2 linked regions of the Saccharomyces cerevisiae S288C genome follow. Changing the gene in region 1 together with any one later gene gives a genetic interaction. Each region holds a gene or a part of one and is shown in the gene's direction. Other genes may lie near its edges.

What was found.
Region 2: mutations in YHR138C (region 1) and TEL2 together harm fitness more than expected from each alone (negative genetic interaction), as found in Saccharomyces cerevisiae (2 studies listed by BioGRID).

What each region holds. Positions count from the first base shown.
Region 1 is NC_001140.6:376,546-379,600, reverse strand, and holds YHR138C (uncharacterized protein), read left to right. Parts: upstream 1-1,901; coding exon 1,902-2,246; downstream 2,247-3,055. Other genes in the region: SPS100 (Sps100p), read left to right, coding at 402-1,382; ARO9 (aromatic-amino-acid:2-oxoglutarate transaminase), read right to left, coding at 2,351-3,055.
Region 2 is NC_001139.9:685,659-690,535, forward strand, and holds TEL2 (Tel2p), read left to right. Parts: upstream 1-2,240; coding exon 2,241-4,307; downstream 4,308-4,877. Other genes in the region: ESP1 (separase), read right to left, coding at 1-1,800; GTPase-activating protein MDR1, read left to right, coding at 4,587-4,877. UniProt on the Saccharomyces cerevisiae protein: Part of the TTT complex that is required to stabilize protein levels of the phosphatidylinositol 3-kinase-related protein kinase (PIKK) family proteins. Required for telomere length regulation and telomere position effect.

The sequences.
Region 1 (3,055 bases):
AGAAAAAGATCATTCAACAGTTAAGGGCTACAGTAGTTCTCAGCGAATACCGGCTGATGTACAGAAGCGAATTCCTGTTGGGGAATCTCACTGTACCCTTCAAATATGTAATGTTAGAGTAGCAAAAGTTCTTGGCTTAGCAATTACATTTAACGCTGATGATCCTCGGTTTATGAGCAGAAAATAGGGAAAAACGTGTACAAATGATTCTCTCAGAATGTGCAACTAGCATCCCCTTTTAGAAATGCCTTGTTGAAAATTCCCCTAAGACGTTACTCATTAGAATACTATAAAAATTGGGAGGAAAGCTAAAAACACTTTTGGTTTCTCTTGTTCCTATCAATCATGCTCTAGTATTTGATTTCGATCAGTTTTCACATCTAAGAACCCAATCAGCTATTATGAAATTCACATCAGTGCTAGCATTTTTTCTTGCAACTTTAACAGCTTCTGCAACACCACTTTACAAGAGGCAGAACGTTACTTCTGGCGGCGGTACGGTCCCCGTGATCATCACGGGTGGACCTGCTGTATCTGGTAGCCAGTCAAACGTTACTACCACAACGCTATTCAACTCTACTTCCACCTTAAACATCACTCAACTTTACCAAATTGCTACTCAAGTTAATCAGACTTTACAAAGCGAATCGTCTTCCGGCATTATAATCGTCACAAACTGGCGTTCCATTGAAACTTTGAGTTTCTTCTGCTCAATCGTTTTTAATACATCAAAGACCATTGTCATTACTGAGAATTTCTTATGGGGTGTACCAATATTGAGTAGTTCGGACGCGGAAGGTAGAGGCACTTTGGTTGCCGGTAGAGATAAAGTTGTGTATTCTGGTGTTTTCCCTCCTTACACTGTTCCTGTGGGCGTTTTGTCTGGTCAGAAGAATGTTCAATGGTTCTTTGATGCCTGTGAGCCAACTCTGATTGCCAGCAACTCCACAATCAGAACTCAATACTCGAATTTTACGAGCGCACAAATATCTTCTAATGCCTCCTCCGGGACCAATACATCCTCATCATCCTCCAGTCCATTGGTTCCAATTATATACGAAGAAGGATATTCTCAAAGCTTAATTCAATCACTAAGTTCTAGTATCCAAGGTTTGGTTGTTGTCAGCTCTGGTACAAGTCACAACAGTACCGTGGCATCATGGACATCGGTCGACTTCCCTGTCGTTTATGCAAGTGATGGATCCAGTGGTCATGATGGTTCAGGAATTGGGTTCATAAGTAACACAAGTATTCCACAAGGTGCAATTTCTGCTGGGTACTTGTCACCAATCCAAGCGCAAACTTTGTTGTCTATTGCTATCCATAATCAAGTCACAAGTAGTAGCGAGTTACAACAAATCTTCCCTGTTAGTCAACAATAAGATGATTATGTGTTGTGTACTACGAAAATAAGCAAAAAATAAATAAAATAAAAACAAAAACAAAAACAAAAACAAAAACAAAAACAAAAACAAAAACACATATTGTTATGATGACTGGACGAAAGAAAGATCGTCGTTACTTTCCTAATTGTTTGTCTTCAGTACAGTTATTATCAGTGTTCTCTTTCTTTTTTATTGTACTATGTGATGTTACTGATACATCACGCGCTTCCTTTATGTTTTCTTTTTTTATGTTCGTTACAGGATTTATAGTTTTTACAGTATATTGACTTCAATAATTTCTAATATTCAGTTCCTATTAAATTTGATTATTCCGATTAGATCGGTCGGCGCTACCAAAAAGAGGCGAAGAAAAGAGGAAAACGCAAGTGGATAAAGGGGTGGGGGGCAAAAGTATTTAAGAAAAAGCGATGCGATGGAGAGAACAAATGGATAAGTTGCGTTTCCTCGTTATATTACAACATTTAAATCTATTGTGTAACAGACTATAGCATATATATGAAGGCCAGTTACTTAGTTTTGATTTTCATTAGCATATTCTCCATGGCACAGGCATCTTCCTTATCATCATACATCGTAACTTTCCCCAAGACGGATAATATGGCTACGGACCAGAATAGCATTATTGAAGATGTCAAAAAATATGTGGTGGACATAGGGGGTAAAATAACACACGAATATAGCTTGATAAAGGGCTTTACAGTGGACTTACCTGATAGCGACCAAATTTTGGACGGTCTGAAAGAACGTTTGAGCTATATTGAAAGCGAGTACGGTGCTAAATGCAATTTGGAAAAGGATTCAGAAGTTCATGCTCTAAACCGTGACCATTTAGTTGCTTAGAGTAATTTAAAATATACGCGACTATAACTTTTTCCCAACTTTTATACAAAAAACTACAATTTATATATGATATGCAAATAACACATAGGTTTAATCTTCACTGTTCAACTTTTATAGTTGTCAAAAAATTCTTTTATGCCACTACCGATTCTTTTGGAAGCTTCAATCAACTGATCATCATCCCTTGCATAGGCGATGGTGAGTCTTAGAAAATCTGAATTCTGCTTTGAATAATTTGGGCAAACAGCCATTTTATAACCAAGCACTACTTTAACACCATTCTTCAGCAAGAACTTATCTAAAATATCCATCTGTTGCGGCAAATCGTCAGGTCTATCGAAATTCCCCCAATTGATTTTAATAATGATGAACATACCCGCGGAGGGTTCCATAACGGTAAACTGACCAGCTTGGTAAGATTCTGTTTCGTATAAGGCTTTCAAAGTAAGATTTTTCCTATGATTGTATTTAGAAGCAATCTGCATTATCCATCTTATCCAACCCTCAAACATTGCTTCTTTCATAGAAAGAGAGGACGATAAGTTGGACTCAGCCATTGCCTTTATTGTAGAATAAACAATAGCTTGTGAGGTACCACTGGGGGCCCTTGTAGTAATGTCGGCCAAATCCAAGATTTTTTGCAAAAGGAATTTATTAGCAACGATGAAGGATAACCTTAATCCAGGAGCAAAAATTTTAGAAAAAGTCTCCAAACGGATGACACGGGCATCTGTATCCAAAGTCAAGAATGATTTCATTAAAAAATCATTCAAATACCGTTCAGTAGTCAGGTCGCTAGAATGGTAAGG
Region 2 (4,877 bases), on another chromosome or scaffold:
CAATAGGTACACTATTCGTATTAATAGCTCATATTTGTTGAGCAAGTGTAATTTATCAAACGTATTATTTAGCTCTAAAGGATCCAAATCAAAGATACCCCTCAGTGAGCAAAATATCATTCTGCTTAGTTGTGACCAATTTTCGGAAGGAATGTTTTCGATAGATGAATTTCCATACAGTACTGAAAGCATAATTTCTGAACTGTTTGAAAACTCGATGAATTTTGTGATTTTTAGGCGTGTAAAGCAATGAATGAATGCATTTTGGCAAAAGTCAAAAACAAATGATAGCGTATCATTTCGTAGCATGCAATATACATTGAACAAACAGGAAAAGATTTCAATTTTTTTCTGGGCACTCTGAGCACTAGATATAAATTTTTCAAATTTCAGTATAGTACGATGAGATGTTTTTGAATCATTACTGATTAAAACATTTGAGATTTCCAAATTAGCAGTCTTTAACAAAAACGAATGACTCTTAAATAAAACAGAAGCATTGAAAAGGACACTGATAATATTTGACAGTCGTTTAGGCTCTTTATAATCGATACAAATTTCTGATAAAACTCCCAGAAGTTCGGATAATAATGCCGCCGCAGATTCGTCATTAATGGATTTAATATTTGAGTTGATATAAATAACAGTACAATCAAACTGCCTCAATATATCCTTATTTTTAGGTAATCCCTCTAGGCGAATAGTAGACCAAAGACAGACTAAACATTTTAATGTTGCGGATATATGTTTCCCTTTATTTTGTAGAAAATTCGTTGCATTTTCGAGTATTACGTTCAAATCATCGACAGATATACAGGACCAGAGAAGACGGTTTTCACTCATGTTGCAGTATTCATTGAATTCTTTTTTACTTTTTATCGCTCTTTGTACCTCAGTAGTTTCTTCGTAACTTAAAATGTCTAGAAGCATTATTTTATCCAATCCATCGTACAGCATGGAATAGGATAAGTAAAATGAATTTAAATATATTTTATTAGGTCCCATCTCCAAATAATTTTTATGAAGAAGGTTTTTGCTAAAACACTCGACGGTAATGTTGCTAATGAACTTTTTAAAAGGTAATTTGAACTGTTTGATATATTGTAGAAATTTTAGCCCGAATAGAACTTTGCAACTCGTCGTGACAGAAAAAAAGCTCAGCACGATTTTTGTGAGAGCGTGAGCTTTGAGGTTAGGGTCTTTCAAAAGATATCTTTTATCATGGGAAAATAGTTCTAATATATGCGGTAAGTATTCGTCTACTAGCTTTCTTTTCAGTATAATCTGCAGCGCTAATATTTTCAGATTTGAAAGATAGTAGTCGTTCCACGTACTGAAGTCTGCTAGAAGAATGTTTTTCAGACTATGAGCTTGAAATAAATTCGTTTCATTGAAAAGAAAAATAATTTCAGAGGAGGCCAATCCTAATGCGTTATTATTTATTAGTTTAACAATTATCATCAAATGTTGTTTAACAGTGGAGTTTATATGGCCCCACATGTGATGGCTCTTCAATAGGCTATATATTGAATTTAATGAATGGTCAACAGTGGTAATATCCTCAATGGCTAAGTCTATGTTATTGCTTGCAATTTTTGTAAAGTCACGTATTATGTTATTATGCATTGCTAGTATGCCAATAGAATTGGATGAGGCGTCTCCAGACAACACCGAGGTCAGTGGTCTAGTTTGGCCACTATGATGTACTTTCGAAAGCGTGTCGTTTAAAAGGTAGGACTTGCTAGTCATCGGAGTATTCGGACTAATCTCATTCAGCGGTTCCTCCTGTTTTACCATCATTCCTTAATTTATAAGCACTTCGTGCCTAGGTTAAATTATTACTAGGTTAGCCTCAAAAATGTTGGGTTTAGGTCAACTTTTTACTATGCTCGCAGTTAGAAGGAAAAGAAAAATATGCTATAGCCAGATGCTCCTGTGAAACGTGTCCTAACTAAAATAATTCGGATGTTTCTGATGATAGAGTGTCTATATTCCTCCAAAAGGAATTTAACTAATTGTGGTAAGCTTCTCGCTTCAAATGCGCAATGTTACGTGGATGGGCTTTGTATCCATGTTCTTGTTTTTGTTTGTTTACCTCTTTTCTGTAAAGACCCGTGAAGTTTGAAAAGAAAGAAAATAAAAACAAACACCAAGAAATGCAGACAATAAGTACTTGTGGACAGGTTGCCGCTAATAGAACGTGAATCGAGCTACTTTATACGCATTTAATTCCTCATGAAATGGTTTTAGAAACGCTGAAACAAGGGCTTGACAGCAGTCAAATACATGAAGCTTTAATACAACTAGATTCCTATCCTCGCGAACCGGTGGATCTAGATGCCTCGATGGTTCTCATAAAATTCGTAATTCCAGTTTATCCATCACTACCAGAAAGATCGAAGGTGATATTGAGACGGCTAGCTTCTAAATCGTTTACATTTTTATGCCAAATTGTCACCTTCTCAAGGACAATAAGTGGCCGCGATGGACTGCAAGAGATACGCATATACCAAGAAATTTTAGAAGACATCATCAGTTTTGAACCGGGATGTTTGACTTTTTATTTAAAGGCAAGCACTACTAGCAAAGCAGACCGTGATAGCATTAAGGCCCTTTTCTTTGGGAGCAAGTTATTTAATGTGTTGGCCAACCGAATTGATATGGCGAAATATTTGGGATACCTTCGGCTTCAGTGGAAATTTCTACTTGAGAGTAATGAAACAGATCCACCTGGGTTTTTAGGGGAATGGTTAGTTTCATCATTTTTGCTTAACCCAGTGCTAGCGGCAGATATGTTATTAGGCGAATTATTTTTATTGAAAGAGTCGTATTTCTTTTCTTTTCAGAAAATCATATCTGCTAGTAGTCTGATAGATCAAAAGAGGCTGATTGCTAAGTTTTTATTACCATATATTCAAGTTATCGTGACTTTAGAAAATTTGAACGATGTTAGGAAAATTCTGCGGCGGTTTGATCTCGATAAAATCATAAGTCTGTCCGTATTATTTGAAATACAGTCGCTGCCATTGAAGGAAGTGATAGTACGTCTGATGAGCAACCACTCTTCCACGAAGTTTGTTAGCGCTTTGGTAAGTAAATTTGCTGATTTTACAGATGAGGAAGTAGACACAAAGACATGTGAATTGCTTGTACTCTTTGCAGTGCACAATCTCAATCATTCCCAGAGAGAGGAAATAGCACACGATGAGCGGTTTTTGAATGGCGTGACCAAACATTTAGGTAGCAATGAACGTGAGGCAAGGGAGCGTGCGATGTTTATTGCCAAGCTTTTATCAGGCGGTCATCTGAAGTACGAAAGTGATTTTAAAATCAATATACCGAATGTCAAATTCGAAAGCAATAGCGATGATAAAATCATTGATTTCCAATCTTTAAAAAATCCATCCATATGCAATACCCAAACTGATGTGGGTAAGGATAAGATTACTGAGGTCTCGGGTCATGTTCAAAGCCTTACATTGGACTGCAGTGATAGCGATGATGAAGATGAGAACGATGAGCGGGAGATTGTTAAACGAATTGTATTTTTAAAAGATTTAATGAAAGAATACGAAAAAACTGGGGAATCTCGAAAAGCTCCATTGATACCACTTCTGAAGCAAACAGTGAAATTGATACGGCAAAAGGCGGATTTTCAGTTAGAGGTTGGCTATTATGCACAAGGTATTCTGTCAAGCATTGTGTGCTTGAATAATGAATTTGATGAACCGCTTTTCGAGCAGTGGAGAATAAACGCTCTAACAAGCATACTGGTCGTCCTTCCAGAGAAGGTGAATGGCGCTATAAATATTCTATTCAATTCAGAACTGTCGTTACAGCAAAGGATGTCACTATTGTCGGCTCTGGGTCTTTCTGCAAGAGAGTTGAGAGGGCTTGATGATCCTACTATTGTCAAGCCCAAGTTTGATTTTCCAACAAATCGTTTACCGTGGGATGATCAAAGCCATCATAATAGTAGGCTTGTTGAAGTTCAAGAGTCAACAAGTATGATAAAGAAGACGAAAACAGTATGGAAATCTAGAAAACTAGGCAAGGATCGAGAAAAAGGAACGCAAAACCGCTTTAGAAAATATGCTGGTCTATTCTTCTATCCGCTAGCACACGGTTGGCTTAATGGAATTGACGTAGGCACATACAATCAGCTTTTTAAGTCGCATTATTTAACAACACTGCGTATCATATACTCTTGCGCTAACCCGGTCCACGATTTTGAATCCATGACGGAGTTGATGAATCATATAATTAGTTCAGCCATAGAGGAAGGAATTTCTCTCAATAAAGGTTAGTAGCATAGTTATTTGTACCAATCTTATGATACATATTTGAATAAATTTAGTGCGTTCTCTGTCAGCGTCGTTAGTATTTAATGCACAGCATATTATTTCAGAAGGTCGGCCGACTCCTGCAACTGGGAAAAAGAACTTCAATAAGAAAAGGCCTGAACAAATCTGCTTGGTAAGGGCCCAACAACATTTAAGAAATTGTACATTTTGAAAGCACTGATCCATCAATTAAAGCACCGAACAACCTCAGAGTTGATACAATTATTAGTTAAAGGATAGGATATGTCATTTTTTGATTCTTTACGTCAAAAGGCACCCTTTTTGGATAAACTGGCAGACAGTTTCACTCCAACATTAACCAGAGATGAGAAATTCAGATTAAAATATAAACTTCCAGCTAATGAAAACATTTTGGAAGATACGAATGCAGAAGTTTCATTTGCAACTTCCATTAAAGATGGAAAAGGGCATTCTGATAGAGTGAACAATAAAGGGAGAAAAACTGCTTATGTGTATTCCGGGAGATTGTTTTTAACACCTCATTTTCTGGTATTTCGAGATGCATTTGATCAT